Caenorhabditis elegans: one gene and its partner. The protein of the gene in region 2 interacts with the protein of the main gene of each other region in a pairwise test. Each region holds a gene or a part of one and is shown on either strand. Other genes may lie near its edges.

Evidence for each region. The genes of interacting proteins can lie anywhere in the genome.
Region 1: the proteins of cmd-1 (region 2) and aspm-1 interact in a two-hybrid assay, tested with the Caenorhabditis elegans proteins (2 studies listed by BioGRID).

The regions. Positions count from the first base shown.
Region 1 is NC_003279.8:9,219,553-9,228,100, reverse strand, and holds aspm-1 (Calponin-homology (CH) domain-containing protein), read left to right. Parts: upstream 1-1,710; 5' UTR 1,711-1,717; coding exon 1,718-1,778; intron 1,779-1,829; coding exon 1,830-2,532; intron 2,533-2,596; coding exon 2,597-2,920; intron 2,921-3,024; coding exon 3,025-3,661; intron 3,662-3,707; coding exon 3,708-4,661; intron 4,662-5,020; coding exon 5,021-5,391; intron 5,392-5,439; coding exon 5,440-5,513; intron 5,514-5,657; coding exon 5,658-6,094; 3' UTR 6,095-6,351; downstream 6,352-8,548. Other genes in the region: lipt-1 (BPL/LPL catalytic domain-containing protein), read right to left, coding at 48-264, 309-509, 559-677, 729-965, 1,015-1,110; lim-9 (Protein espinas), read left to right, coding at 7,373-7,443.
Region 2 is NC_003283.11:1,152,788-1,160,131, forward strand, and holds cmd-1 (Calmodulin), read left to right. Parts: upstream 1-3,483; 5' UTR 3,484-3,520; coding exon 3,521-3,554; intron 3,555-3,835; coding exon 3,836-4,074; intron 4,075-4,171; coding exon 4,172-4,319; intron 4,320-4,376; coding exon 4,377-4,405; 3' UTR 4,406-5,402; downstream 5,403-7,344. Other genes in the region: T21H3.5 (Serpentine Receptor, class H), read right to left, coding at 5,464-5,599, 6,755-7,086. UniProt on the Caenorhabditis elegans protein: Calmodulin mediates the control of a large number of enzymes, ion channels and other proteins by Ca(2+). Among the enzymes to be stimulated by the calmodulin-Ca(2+) complex are a number of protein kinases and phosphatases.

The sequences.
Region 1 (8,548 bases), on a different chromosome or scaffold from region 2:
GGAAAATCAAATAACGACTAGAAAATAATTAAAATAAAAAGAAATGACTAAAGATCCGGCGAGAATTGTTGATTTGTGTCTAACACGAGTCCATCTTTCACTTCAATTATGGACTTATTTTCGCGGGAATATTGAAATTTCGGGCTTTTTCCATAAATCCATTTCCAGGCTTTCAACTCATCAAAGATTTTCGATATTTCTGCATTTTTCTTCACTTCCTCTGCAACATTCACAGTTTTTATATGTGATTCTTCGAACAGTTTTCTGAAATTTTTTAATGATTGGAAGTTTTTAGTTGCTCCGTTCACCTATAAGCTTCAACAATGGCTAATTTTGATTGTTCGACATTTGCATTGGCATCATCTTGTTTCAGAAATCCAACAGCCGGAGCTCTTACGCTTCTTGTAGCATTTGATTCGATTTTATCTCTCCATGGAGATTTCAAAGATTTTGATAATACTTGAAGATCCGCACCGACGAGGAGTGTTAGATGGTGATAGGCTTGACCTCTTAAATTATTCACATAACAAGTGTTTAAAATATTTTTTTTAAAAATACCGCGCAATTCTTGCAGCTGTTCCTGAGCATTTCCGTTCTCCTGGATGTAGTTCCATGTCATCACGCTTGTTTGGAACGATTTTAACAGAAAATTGTTGATTTAGAGCATCCGAAATGAACTGGAAATAATAAAATGATATTTTTATTATTTTGAAAAATGATATTAATACCTTCAAGTTTTTTGGCCGACAGTGTTGTGCGTGTGTTGTTAAAAGTGAAATATTCAGATTTCCTAGATCATGATAAACAGTGCCTCCTCCACTGTGCCTTCGGACAATTTGAATATTATTTTTGTTAGCATATGGTATGTTGACTTCAATCCACGGATTTTGATGTCTTCCGATGACTACAGCCGGTCGATTACTCCACATGAGCAGGATTTCCCCGTTTTGAGCGACATTGTGAGTCTGAAATCAAAAACTATAGCAAAGGCACTGAAATTACTGCTGAACTGACCCTGAAAATATGCTCCTCATACGCAAGATTTTCGAAAATGCAGCTTGACGTGGATTTCAGAACTGTGGACAATTTTCCGCGTGATATAGAACACATTTAACAAGAAAAATAAATTAGGAAAAGGTAAGAAAACTGTTTATTTGCAAGATTTGAGAAGAAGAGATTGCTAGCATTAAGGAGACGCAGACATTCAGTAATTGCGCTCCATTTATGACATTGTGGCGCGAGCGTTCAAAACATAAATTTTACTTTTTTTTCATTGATTTTTGTTTGATCTAAATTTCCGAAAGCTACCTGAAAACTGTTTAACGCTTTTCTACTATAAAATCGTCACCTTAAAATCTTTTTTAAAATATAATTTTTGTGTGAATTATAAAAATGCACAGTAGCAGTTTAAAGGCACACTTCTTAGTTCAAAGAAATGGTCTTATCACGATTACAGTACCCAACCTGAACGCGGCGCGAATTCCGGATTTATCCCCAAAACGTTTTTTTCCTCCGTTTTAGGTGGCCATTTGTACCGCGTCCAAAACGCGTAAAAGTCCCCAAATTGTCTTCTTTGTTCGACAATTGCACTGAAAACTGACAAAAAACTAACAACATCGGGACTTTTTCGCGTTTTGGACTCGGCATTGAAACTAATATCGCTGTGTCTTCCTTCCTGATTTATTCGTCTTTATTTTTTGTATTTTTCAGAATCAAAATGGATAATAACGTTGAGGATAAAAAAGAGGCAATGCTCAAACGATTAGCAAATCGACACGGTAACAAGATATTTATACTTTATCTCATTATTTATTTTCTTCCTCTTTCAGAGAAACGCCTTCTTGATCAAGTCAAATCGAACACAAAGAAGATCGATTTGAGAGCAACCGAGCGAGCCTTTTTGGAGTCGAGTCCGACTTCAATGAATATGCGAACTCCTCTCAATCCTTCAATCAGCTCTTCTGTATCAGATTCCCCGATTCTATCATATGATGAGAAAGCCAACAAGCAAATTATTGCACTCGCCACGTGGTGCAACACAATGATGGAATTGGATGTGTCTGAAGAGATGGATCTAGGAGAGTCGAAAGCAGAAGCCTGCAGAAATATCCAAAAAATGTTGAAGAAAAGATCAGATACGTCAGAAGTGGAAAATACACAGGAAAATGCACGCAGGAGATATCAACGGATTTTTGAGAAAAATGATCCAGAAGTTGTGAAGAAAAAGTGCAAGCAGCTTCTAGACGATTCAGGAATGGATGCAAGCATCAAGGATCTTCTGTCCAAAAACAACGTCGCAATCCGAAAAGAACATGCCGTATATAATGACATAGGCCTCCAAACAACTCTTCTTCACACATTTCTATCATTCCATCCTGCTTGGCTGAAAACTGCTCTTGAAGCAATCTTTAACACGAGAATTGACGCTCAACCGAAGCATTTAATGAAAAAACTTTCTCAGTTTTTCCTCGATCTAGTTTTCTCAAATCCGACGATGCTAAAGAACAAGAAATTTGCACAAGGTTCTGGAAAGTAAGTTGCTGATTTCAGAGGATGAACGAGTTCGTTAAAATTATGCCTAATCAAATTTTTGCAGACCGATCATCACTGAGGCTGGCAAAGAAGCTCTACACAAGCATTTTCTGTCCGTCTCGATGAAGCTGATGTTCTTGATTGAAACGGCACACACTCATCGAGTTATCCCGAATCTGACGAGAATCTTCACGAAGTCCTCTCATTTCAATTGTCTCGACGATGTGTTCTCCGAACTGACGAAGGAATTGTTGACTGGAAGCTCTGCTACTTTCAAAAAAGCGTTTGCAAAAGTCGGTTTTATTCCGACTTACCGACAATCATTCATTGAAAATTACGACTACCAAGCGAAAGGATTTTCAGATTTCTCGGATGGTCTAATTTTGGCGTGAGTTTCTAGAAAGATTTCTTATAAATTACACGAGCTTTTCCTCATTCAACAACAAATGTTATCACTGTCCCTATTTCCACCGATCATAACCTATTTTTCAGAAAGCTGTTGGAAACTGTCGGAGAGATGCCGCATGGTCAAATTCTGTTGAAGTTACGTGATCCAGCAGGCGACCGCATCCGCAAAATTGGAAACGTGAAGATTGTACTCCAGGAGATGTCTTCTTTGGGTGTTCCAACGGATAATGTTAACGCCGAATCAATCGTTGGCGGAAAGAAAGACGAGATTTTGTCTATTTTGTGGGCTATTATCGGAGTTCGTGTGGCCAAGGAACAAAGAATCAAGGTGACGAGAGTTTCTGAAGAAAGAACTCCGAAAAAGCGGCGATCTGCTGTCCACGATGACATGTCTTCTGAAGTATTAAAAATGTGCAAGATTTACGGAAGACAGATGGAAATCGAAGTCATGGACTTGGATTCACTCTCCGATGGGTGCCTTCTGGCCAAGTTGTGGACCACTTTCGGAACAAATTCAACACCGATTCAGGACTATGATGGACTCAGTCTGTGGGAGAAAGTTGTTTCAGTTGCCGAGTTGGAGCTTTGTATTCAGCGAGGACTTGATCAGAACATGGCTCTTTTCGTAAAAATGTTTCTGGAACGACTGGGTATGATTCAAGATCTAAATGAGAAAGCGACCAAGATTCAACGAATGTGGAAGGCCTACGTGCAAAGAAAGGTATTCATCAAAAAATAAAGTTATTTATATTATAATTCACTTTCAGAATACTCCCAAGCTGTATTTCATTGTACAACAACTTCTTGCCGACTCATCAATTCCTCGAAACCGAAGTGTTTCTCCATTCTCTAATAATGTCACTTTCACAGTACCGAGGACTCCACGGAATAATATTCTGACTGAAAGACCATCTCTATCACAAATCCCATCGTCTCGCCAATCAATGGATTCTACCTTCAACGATGCGACGTTTACTGTTTCACGTGATTCAATTGAAAGCATGAACAAGATGCAGAAAACTCCACTGAGAGGTACATTCACAAGAAAAACAATTGCGATGGTTATCGAGGAAGAGGATGATTCGGAAAATAACGAAACGGTCGTACCAAGTACATTGAAAAAGAGAACCGTTGTCAGAATGGAGCACAATGCGGAAGTATTCAGAGAACAAGATGAAGATGATGAAAACCAAGACAAAGACACTGTTGCTCCTTCCGCTGAGAACTTGGATAGTCCACCTTCAGACATCCCATTAGAAACTCTTTCTTCTATTCCTTCCGCTTCCCAATCTGCCATATTTCTTCAAGACTCTGAAACTGGCAAAGAGATGCATGTCCCTAAAGCTGAAGATGTCGGCGTCGTAGTTCTTGAAGCATCAGATTCTCCGGTTGCACTAGAAGGGAACAATGAAGCAAGCTATGATGGTCAGAAAATTGAGAACTTAGAAACTTTTGAAATCAAAGAGGGCAAGACGCAAGAAGATCTACCTTCAAAATCTCCTATGGATCCTACGCAGACAAGCGGAAGCCCATTGGTTGAATTCAGAATGACAGAAGAACAGGAGCGTTTAGAGATGCTTTTCCAGTCATTATCAGAAGATCAGAAGAACTTCGTCAAGACGAATAACCTTAGTGTGTCTATTGAGGACGATGCCAACACTCCTGAACTTAGAAGGATCTTGAGACAAACCAGAGAACTCAAGAGAAAGCAACAGGAAATTGTGAGTCTATATCAAGTTTGACAGATTATTTAATGGTGGACTCAACAGTCAAAAAACGAAACATTTTTTGCTTTAAATGAGAGAACAGATCATAATGACCACATATAACTGTAAAAAATTGAACATTTTTCTAAATTTTTTAATGGGTTTTTTAAAAATTTTGTAACAATAAAAGAAGCGACTGATAAGGCCCGCCGAGATATTCGTTTTCCTGGAAAATTTGAATGGATTTTCTTTTCTCATCTGGCGTCTCAAATGGAAGCACAAAAAAATCCGAGAAAAACCAGTAAAATTAGCTGTAAAAACGGATATCTCTAAAAAGTGGTCAGGGCCTGGTTAAAAATGGTTAAAAGTTTCAGGCGAGAAAACTGGGAAACATCGAGAGAAATGCGTTAGCTGTTCGTGATGGCGGGGAGGATTCGTCCGACAGTAGATCAGATGCTGGGCACGATGTTGCTATCCTTCACGGTGACGACAGTCAACTCTTCGAAAATTCAATGCAATTGGATCAGAAATCTCAATTGCAAAATGATGAGACTCAAATTCTTGAGAATAAAAAGAAGGCAGCTGTTGTCATTCAGAAAATGATACGTGGTTTCATTGCACGGCGTAAATTCCAAATGGAAATTAGCAATATTCGCAATCGCATGATCCAATACAATCACATATTGGCGCAAGAAGACGAGCAAATTGGTATAGAAGAAATGGAGGATAAATCAGTCGAGGCAAAGTGAGAACTCTTTTTTTTTTAAATATATTTAAAAAAATTGATTTTCAGGCTAAAGAAATGCGCTCTTCATGGACTCACAAATGATAACCTTCACGTCGTTCATGTTGCTGCAACTGTCATCGGTATGTCGCAAATGAAAATTACGAAGAAGCTGCTTTTTGATCTGAAAGTCATAGAAACCAAAAGTTTATGAATATGCCGCCATGGATGATTTTCTTCGTCAATTGCAAAACCATACAACACATAGAAATGTTCATATTTTGCAGACCGAGTCACCGATCTTGTTCCATCACTTTTGGAAAAGCTTGTCGTCGAACTGAATGGCATCAAGTCGATCACTGATGTTTTGATTGTGGCGGATCGAGGATTCTCTTATACGAGCATTCTTCATCCATTATTGAATGTTCTCGAAAAATTATTCACGAAGATTCCCGAAGAAGTCACCAATTCGCATATTCTCCCTCACTTGAAGATTTTGTCGCCTCGCTTGATGCTACTGATGCTGAAGCACTCGGAAGTCAAGGAATTGTTTATTCCTATCATTAACACCTTGACTTCAATTGCTAGAAGATTCCCAGACAAAAAGCAATCGAGTTTTTCTTCATCAAGCTACTCAATCAAGCAGTCGCTCAAAAAAGTCAAGGATCAGGAGTGTCGGAATAAATTGGTCAGATTGGAAAGCATATGCGAAGATATGCTCTAAATTAGTCTCTGTTAAATATTAAATTCATCCCACCGTTTTGTGTATCATATCGTGAAAAAATACACACGGTTTAATTATTTTTATGTGAATATTTACCAATAAGATCAGTCAACCTGATGCTTATTTGGATTTTTTGGTATTTCATATTTGTTTCTTAAAGTCTGTTGTGAAGTAAAAACTTGATTTTAAATACTACCGTTTTTTTTAGAGTATGATGAATTTAGCTACTTTTAGAAATTCAAGAAGTCTGCTATTTTTCTCTGTTCCCTCTTTAAAATTTTTGAGTTTTGCACTTGTTGCGTAGCAGATGGCTCATCCGATTTGCAAATAGTTACTCGTCTTACTCTCCGTTCGCATTACACAGTAACCCTCCGACCATCTTTTTCTGCTCTTTTTTGTACTTTGTCACGTCATTCGGCTCCTGCTCCGCCTACTCAAAATTTTTATGGTTTTTTTCGAAAGTTTGAGAGAAGTAGTACTCGTTTTTCCGAATTTTTAAAATATTGTTCATTAGTTTTTATTAATTCCAGCTATATGCAGTGCCGGCCAAAAGTTGGTGATTTTTCAACAACAAAAAAAAATCAAAAGTAGCTACTTAAGTAGTAATTTTAAAAAACTTACCAGACAGGATTTTCATTATAACTTTGTCTAGATTTTGCTTTCCTCTGGAAAAAAAGTTGAAGCGGCTGACATCTACAGGAATAGATTTGTATATGTTCTCTTGCAACACATGTTTTTGAATTCTAAAGGCGCGTATGGGTCTCGCCACGTGGGAAACGAGTTTCTGTAACTCATGTCGGTTTACGGGTCACTAAAAGTTGTATCATCATTTTCAAAAATAGAAATTACTGACAAGATTTATTTAGAAAAAATAATTGTGCAATAGCGGCCCGTACATTAATACGAGTTACAGTAACCCGTTGTTCGAATGGCGAGACCATTGCACGTCTACGTAATAACAATTTGGCAGCAATTTAGACAATATTATCAATGTTTTGTCTTTACACAGTTTTTTAATTATTAGTTTTTGAGGTATTGTTTGGTTGAAAAATCACGAGAATAAGTCAAAGACGCATATAATTTGGCCGATATTGTGCTCGCATTTTCCCGATTTTCGTATTCAAGAAAATGGTCAGAAGATCATTTGGAATAGAAGTAGAAAATCTTCAAAATTTTTCTTTTTCTTTTATTTTATTCTATACAAATAGACACTTGAACTAATATAATAAGTACTTAACAGAAGTAGAACTCTTTTCAACTTGGCCCCCTCTCTGTAATATGTCTGACAATGTTGGTCCAAGAGAATTGTCAAATGCATTCAAATATCTTCTTGCCTATCAATTAGATTCGTAAGTTTTTTTTTCACAAAATGGAAAATTGATAGTTATGGATAGATCTCTGAAAAAAAACATCTTAAAATAGTAGATAATACTTTCCACCCAATTTTTTTGAATTCATAAACTTATAAAGGCATATTAGTAGCTTTTGTAAAATGTGTTCGAGAAGTTATTTATTCAATAAAAATGTGTAAAAAACGGTAAACCATTTAGATACCAAAAAAACCAGATCTTGCCATTTTTCTTCTAAAAGACACGACAAAAATTAGGTATTGTCAAGTGTGGGTTACTGTATCTGGATGTTTCTCTCTCTCGGGTATGACCTTTTGTCCAATCATGGAAAGTTCACCAAACTTATTCTGGAGTTATGCATAATTTATTTGTAATATTAAAACTTCAGGAGAGTCATGGTAATAAACTTAAAGTAGAAGAGTTCAAAATTCTCTTCAAAAAAAGTGTTTAGAAACCAGTAAGAACCCTTTCAAACTCTACATTTCTTCCTTCTAAACCCCGCTGTAATCCTTCTGTGATCAATTTTTCAAAATGACTACAAGTGACATAACTGCCAGTTTTAAGGCACACTTTTCTGCAATCTTCCGGAAGAAGATGTTCGAGACTTATTTGTTCTTTCAAATCGACTGGCCAATATCATTTATACAATTTAATGTGGAACGTCGCCTATAAGAAAATTGTTTGAAACCAATTAATTCGTTGCTAAAATGTAAAAAGCTTTGAAAGATATTTTTATTTGCAGTCGAAAAGTGGAAATTTTTTTACCAATAAATTTCCGTCAAAATTTAGCGATTCACCAATACTTTGACAGAAATTTTTGAACGACCTAAAGTTTTTTGAAGCGTTTAATTATTTTTTAAAGTCATGTTGGAGTGTATTTGTAGCACATATCCCGGAGTACTTTTTGGGGTACACAATTTATATTTCTCGATATATAACTATGCAACACAAATAGAGTACCTAATCAATTGAAGATCAATTGATATATATGCCATATTCGGGAAGTGTGTGTGAATCTCTGAGTCTCTCAAATCCAAATGATATTTCTCATTTCATAATATATTTTCTCATTATCTTGTTGTCATTATCCACTATCTTCATAATC
Region 2 (7,344 bases):
AGAAATTAAAAAAATTCGACTAAATACACCACCTTTAAAATTAAGAAATTTTAACATTAAAAATTAATTACAAAAGGCGTGTCGTGTCGAGACCCAACGAAACTTTTCCTCTATGCGCCTTTGACTGTATGTGGCGCGTGGCCATTTTTTCTAATTTAAAATTTTGCGGCGGGAGTTTTTGATTTTACTCGCTATTTTCAATTTTTCCTGCGTGAACTTTTTATAAATTTGTTTTTAAAAATTTTTTTATAAAATTTAAACGTGGCGAAGCCGTCCATTTGTTGGAAATTGCCAACAATCTCGTCATTTTGTGTTTTTCCAACTTCCTGCGAGTGTGAGTTTTTTCCGGATATCCCACGAAATTTCACAATCTTGTGTTCGCCGATTTCGTTTCCTCTCTCCTTCTCAAAGTGATTTTTCCCTCATTTTCCGCGGATTTTCGTCGTGTTGTTCGTTTCCTTGAACTCTGAAATTCCTCTTCCCTCCTGTTGCGATACCACCAAAAATCACGGATTCCTCGTTTCCCTCGTAAATTTAAATCGAAGAGTTTTCCAAACTAGGCCGTTTTGGCTCGGCCACATCTGTGGTAGATTTACGGCGCGTTGCGTGTCGCGTCGCGGCTCGATTTTAGTTGTAAAACTAAGAGCATTTATCCGGGTGGAGTATACACGACTTTGCCCGGCGGACGATTGTCAATAGAGCGCGAAAAATTCAATGAGGAAGGCCAGAACCCCGCGCAAAAATTGTCGAATATCCCCCCATCGAAAACAACACAGGGCGTGGCTTAGCTGTTTTGGTACCGCTCCACCGCTTCACGACCCGCCCATTTTAGAGTAAGTGTTCCCTCCCGTTGGCCCTCTTTTTGCCTTTTCTGACTCACTTACCACCGTGTATATAAGGTGTGCACGGTTTTTGATAAAATATGAGTCAGCGCATTGTCGATTTCTCCCCGTTTTTATTGATTTTTTTAATAGCGGTTCATTTTGTCGTGAGAATTAGTTCTTGTAAACCTTGGCACGGGCCTTCCTCATTGAAAATTTTGCGCTCCATTGGCAATCGCCCGCCGGACAATGCGTGGGAAAGTCGTGAATACATTCAGTTTTACAACTAAAATCGAGCCGCGACGCGCCATAAATCTACCCCAGATATGGCCGAGCCAAAATGGCCTAGTTCGGCAAACTCTTCCATTTCCATTTTTTCGAGTTCCAACATTGTCGGTTTCGATAATCTTCCTTCCTTCTCCACCGTCGTCCGTCGTCAATGCATTATTTCTAATGCCGCACCGACGCATTGCGCACACCACCAGTCGGTCGTCCACCACCACACTGACTGCAGCAGCCAGCCAGCAACTGAAACAGCAGTATTCAGGCATGGGCGCTCTGGCGGGAGAAATAGAGAAATTGAGCATCATCGAGAGAGAGAGGGAGTGCGACGAATGAAATTGCACACACACACGCGCACACTCTGCTTAAACGGGCATCATTTCATGTGCCTGGGCAATAGAAACAACCGATGTTTCATTTTTCCTGAAAAATGCTTCTTCGTTGTTTTTACCGACTTTCTGAGCCGCTTCGTTAGAAAACCTCGAAACCCCCCGAGATTTCCGCCAAATATTTGTCCAGCGTTCGTATAGATATTTGAGGAGGCTCGAGAGATCCAACAAATTGAGAAACGAAGGTGTAACGAGAAAAAAAACAGAGTCTGTTTGCTAAATCATGTGATTCATTGATTTTTCAACTCGTCAAATAGGTTTTCGCAACTATTTTTCCATATTCTCGTGATTTATCATTCTGTAAAAACATTTCTTAGGTCTCTTTTGATTGTTTATTCCCTTTTCCTGGTTTCCCATTATAGGTTAAAACCTGAAAACCCTTGCGCCGGGTCGGATTATGCTTTAGTTTTCACCGCCGCTCCGTTTCGCGCGCGCGCTTATATAATCCCCTTGTACAGCAGCCCTTTTTCGTATTAATGTTCCATATCGAAAATGCGCTCCGCTGAGAATTGGTCGGCTTTTTTTGTTGTTGACGCGGTGTCTGCTGATGTTCTTTCGGACGTATGATGAGATGAAGGAAGAACTAGTTTTTGTGTTCAGACTTCTTCATTGACGAACACGTCTCCGTTCTTTTCTTGTTGCGGTGGTGGTGGTGGTCGTCGCAGATGAATAAGACGTTGGCCGTTTTCGCTACACCCCCCCCCCCCCCCCTCCCCATCCCCCAATTTCAACTTCTCGTTTTGCGTGCAAAACAAGAGGAAATTGAAGTATTGTGGGGATAATTCGATAACCAGAACACGCACACACACTGACCCCTATCTTCTCTCTTTTTTGTTGTTTCATTTCTTTTCCTTCCGCAAGACGTCTCGGCCATCAGAGTTTTCCGATTATTATGTGTAATGGAATATCCGCAGGGGATCTTTGATCTACCCACTGGAAATTTGTTTTTTTTTGGTGGATTTTTGACAGAAATCACGCGCTCTCCTCAAAGCCGAATAATTTTCTACGTTTCGCATTTCTGCATCCGCGGTGTTTTGCCTTTCCACACGTTGTGTCAGAGTGTCTCATTCCGGCTTGATCTACAAAGATCTACAAAAAATGCGGGAGAAGAGACAACAGAGTTCTCAACTGATTTTGCATTGTTAAGAACGTGCTGACATCACATTTATTGGGCAAAATTCCCGCATTTTTTGTAGATCAAACCGTAATGGGACAGCCCAGCCTGGCACCACGTGTTTCCACTGAAAGTAGATGTTTTTTTTTCAGCATTTCACGGACAAACCTATTGCTAGACAGTGAACATCGAAATTAAAATGACTAAAATGAACTTTTTTCGTCTACTGGTTGTGAAAAGGTTTGAAATTGAAAAAATCAACGAGATTTTTCTTATTTTCTAAATATTTTCCTATTAAAAATTGATTTTAATCCATTTGTGACCTTACTTTAGAGTCAAAAGTGGTTTAAAACCGATTTTCGATAGAAAAATAGATTCAGAAAATAACAAAAAAAAATATCCCGCTGATTTTTTCAACTTTTTCTCAACCAGTGGACGAAAAAAGTTGATTTTCGTCATTTTGGTTTGTTCCTAAGATTCAATAAATCTGATTTTTTCAGTGGACAGGCAAAAACATCGCGGATGCAGAAACGCAAAGCGCGTAGCAAGCGCGCTCTAATAATAATTCGGCTTTGAGGAGAGTGAAATCGCTAAATATTTCCAATTCGACAAAATCAACCTTTGATTTCGTCTCCTTCTCTCTTCATTTCGAAATATAAAATTTGTACCTATCGTTGGCTTATCAGTCAGTAAATTCTCTCTAGTTCTTCTCTATTTTCTCTCTTTTCTCTCTTTTTTCGATTATTCTCTCCGATTTTTTCTCTCTCGTCACCGTTTCACCCACCGGTATTCATCATTGTTTACGTCGTTCCGCTCGCTTTCAAACAATTTATATTGATTTTAATTAATTAATTAATTATCCTTTTTCATTTTTCAGGGTTTTCTAACAACACCCCCTGCACAGCGAAAGCAAGATGGCCGATCAACTGACCGAGGAGCAAATTGCCGGTACTTTTTTAAATTCTGATTGATGGACGGAGGACCGGGAGATTGAAGAAATCTAATCCTCTCTCATTTCGAAGCGAATTGAGCAGAAACCAAGCGGCGCGGCGTAGAAATTTAAATTTAATGGATGAAACATTAGCCGTAGCAGCAGATGTATAGCGCCACTATTTTTGTGTGTTTTATTCCAGATGTTGGCTGGTTCTCGCGGCGAAAAATCTATCAACAATTGTATAAAAAACTACAAAATTCGAGAAAAAACCAAATCAATTTTGCCAAATTTTCAGAGTTCAAGGAGGCATTCAGTTTGTTCGACAAGGACGGCGATGGCACAATCACCACCAAGGAATTGGGAACTGTTATGCGGTCTTTGGGACAAAATCCGACTGAAGCCGAGCTTCAGGACATGATCAACGAAGTGGACGCTGACGGAAACGGAACCATCGATTTCCCAGAGTTCTTGACGATGATGGCCCGCAAGATGAAGGACACGGACAGTGAGGAGGAGATTCGTGAGGCGTTCCGAGTAAGAGATTTGTGGAAATTTATAAATTCATTTTTGATTCACTATAGAGAAGCCTCATGTAGTATAGAAAATCTCATTCAAATCTTCCTATTTGCAGGTTTTCGACAAGGACGGAAATGGCTTCATCTCGGCCGCTGAACTGCGCCACGTCATGACCAACTTGGGAGAGAAGCTAACGGACGAAGAGGTCGACGAGATGATCCGTGAAGCCGATATCGACGGAGATGGACAAGTCAATTATGAGGGTGAGTCCTTACAAGACCTTTTTTTTTCGAAATTTCATCAAATTTCCCATATTTCAGAGTTCGTCACCATGATGACAACCAAGTAAATCACACCAATCGGGATCTGAAGCCGCCGTATCGTTTGCGAATCACCAACACCTTTTCTCTCACCTTTCGTTTTTTTATTCTTCCCCGCTTGAAAATTGTGATTTCGCTCTCGAGCCCCAAAAAAAAATTGCCAAGCCCAGTCAAAAAATGCTATAAATGATGTAATTTATGTTCAAATTTAAGTTTTTTTGCCTCTTTTTTGACAGACGTGCTCTCAACCTAATTTTGTTTTTTTCTTAGAATGTGAAACTCATTTATAAGTCATTTTTTTCTTATTTCCTCTTTACAATGATTGAGTTTCTTCTTCTCCTGCCCCTGCCCCCAAATTAAAAAGTCCCGGATCCTCCAGTTCTTGGTCGCCTGCCCCGGCTTGACCCTTCCTCAAAATAATGCCTCCAACCTGTAAAACCCCATAAAAAAATTTAAAAAACTTAAAAAAAACCGCTGGCTTCTTCTTTTCCCACTTGGTATTTTTCTCATATTTTCTCTTCTTCCAAATTGTTCTTCCCAAAAAATGTATTCCAAACTCGAAAATCTTTCTTTCCTCTCTCTTTCCCCCTCAACCATTTATAGAAAGTGTAGAAAATTCCCTCTTTTCGCACCACACACACACCGTCACACGGGCCATTTTAAAATTGTACCTGAAATATTTTCTGTTGCTTTGAATTTCGATTTCGACAAGCAACGGCAAAAAATTTTGGCGCCTAGTGAACACTTTTTGCACCATTGCTTTCTTTTTTTTTGTTTTGGATTTTTTCTTTGAAAATTCCTATTTTATATTATTGTAAAAGTCAAAGTCTCCAAAATCCTTTAATAATTTAATTCCATTCTTCCCAACCAACCCACCACCACCACCGTCTCTATAATCTCTGAACAATTCAAATTTTTATCTCTGATTATCTCGCTTCTCTCGTCCCTTGATGCGAACTTATTCAACAAAAAAAAAAGAAAATCTTCAAATGAAACTTGATTTTTTTTGAATGCTTTGGGGTTTTTCAATCAAAAAGTCAATTTAAAAATTAAAAAGAACAATTTTATTTTTTTGAAAAAAAACTTCTCACATCATCGAAATAGGTGCTCCGACGGTGGACATTTGAAGTTGATCGGCTTGCTGCTGATTATCGACGACAAAGACGGAAAGGTTCACATTTTTTTGCCGGAAAAAATCGATTATAATGAAGCCGAGTTGTCGTCTGAAAATTGAAAAAGTTGAAAAGCGGCAGGCTCCACCCCCAAACGTTGGGTCTCGTTAGGTATTGACGGCAAACATGATGATTCAATATTAAAGGACCACAAAACACTGCTACTGCGTATCGCACAACATATTTGACGCGCAGAATATCTCGCAGCGAAGTCTACAGTAACCCCTTAAATTACTACTGTTACTACTGTTACTACTGTGTCGATTTACGGGCTCGATTTTCGAAATGAATTTATTTTCGAATAGTAGTGACAGTTTTTTTTGCATTATTTGATAAATTTCAATATTTTAGCAATAAATAAATTATTCATTTCAAAAATCGAGCCCGTAAATCGGCACAAGCACTACAGTAGTCATTTAAAGGATTACTGTAGTTTTCGCTAGGAGATATTTTGCCAATTTTGTGCAAAAGTAATATGAATTTTATCTTTCCCATTTCGACATAAAATTAATTTTTTGGTGACAGGATGTCCCATCGCCCCAAAGGCGAGAATTTTTTTTTGAAAATTTGTGACGTCACAGCGCATTTCGAATAATTTTTTTTCAATTTAAACGGCGATTTTTGTCGAATTGGAGTATTTCACTGAAATTCTAAAAATTTTACAAGTTAAGTGGAGAAACTGAAACAAATTGAAAAATTAAAAAAAATAATTTCACCAAAATTAACTCTTAAGTTGCAAAAACAATTATTAGGTGACGTCACAAACTTTCAAAAAAATTATTCGCACCTTTAGTGTGCAGTGTGCAGCGATGGGACAGCCTGACACCGATGGAAAAATGTACGAATTTACAGCTTTGCCGCCAATACCAAGCGAGACCCAAGGTTTAGAGGCGGAGTCGTTTCATACTTAGCAGTAGCGCGCAATTACAAGCGTCCACATTATCCTTGCACGGATTTCTGGCTTCCCTCATAAATTGAAATGGAAGAGTTTGCCGAACTAGGCCATTTTGGCTCGGCCAAATCTGAGGTAGATTTACGGCGCGTTGCGTGTCGCGTTGCGGCTCGATTTTAGTTGGAAAACTAAATGTATTTGTCCGTGTGGATTACACGACTTTCCCACGTGTCCGGCGGGCGATTGACAATGGAGCGCGAAAAATTCAATGAGGAAAGCCAGAACTCCGTGTATTTGCAAAAGAAACCTCAAACCTGTAAGCTCTAAAATTGACAAAAATTGTGAGAGACGTTGTCAATGTAATCGTAATACATCCAAACGAAGCCGGTAACGCACGGACACCAAGATCCCATTTCAGAAGAGACGTAATTGTGAGCACAAAGTGTGGAATGGAAATTGATATGAGATTCTGAAGAGCAATTGATAGGAGGGTTCTATTGATGTTCGCCGAGTCGTGATATCCCATATCGATGAACTCGTTGGAAACGTTCCGAATCGATTTCATATAAAATTTATGAAAAACCAGACTAACGATAAAGCAAGTAATGTAGGGGATGGTAAATGTGAAAACTAGCAACGAGAAACTCTGAAACTGAACATTTTAATTTTTCTTAAGGTACATATATTTTTTAACCATTTTTAATTCACATGTGAATTTAATTAATAAACTTTAAAAACAAATGAATTACTAAAAATTTAAATCAACGATTCTTCCTGCAAACCGGCAAAGAACCGATTTGCAGGAAAAAACGGCAATTTGCCGGCATTGAAAAATTTTACAAACCGGCACATTGCCGATTTGCAGGAATAACAGCGATTGCCGAATTGTTGGCAAATTTTCCGG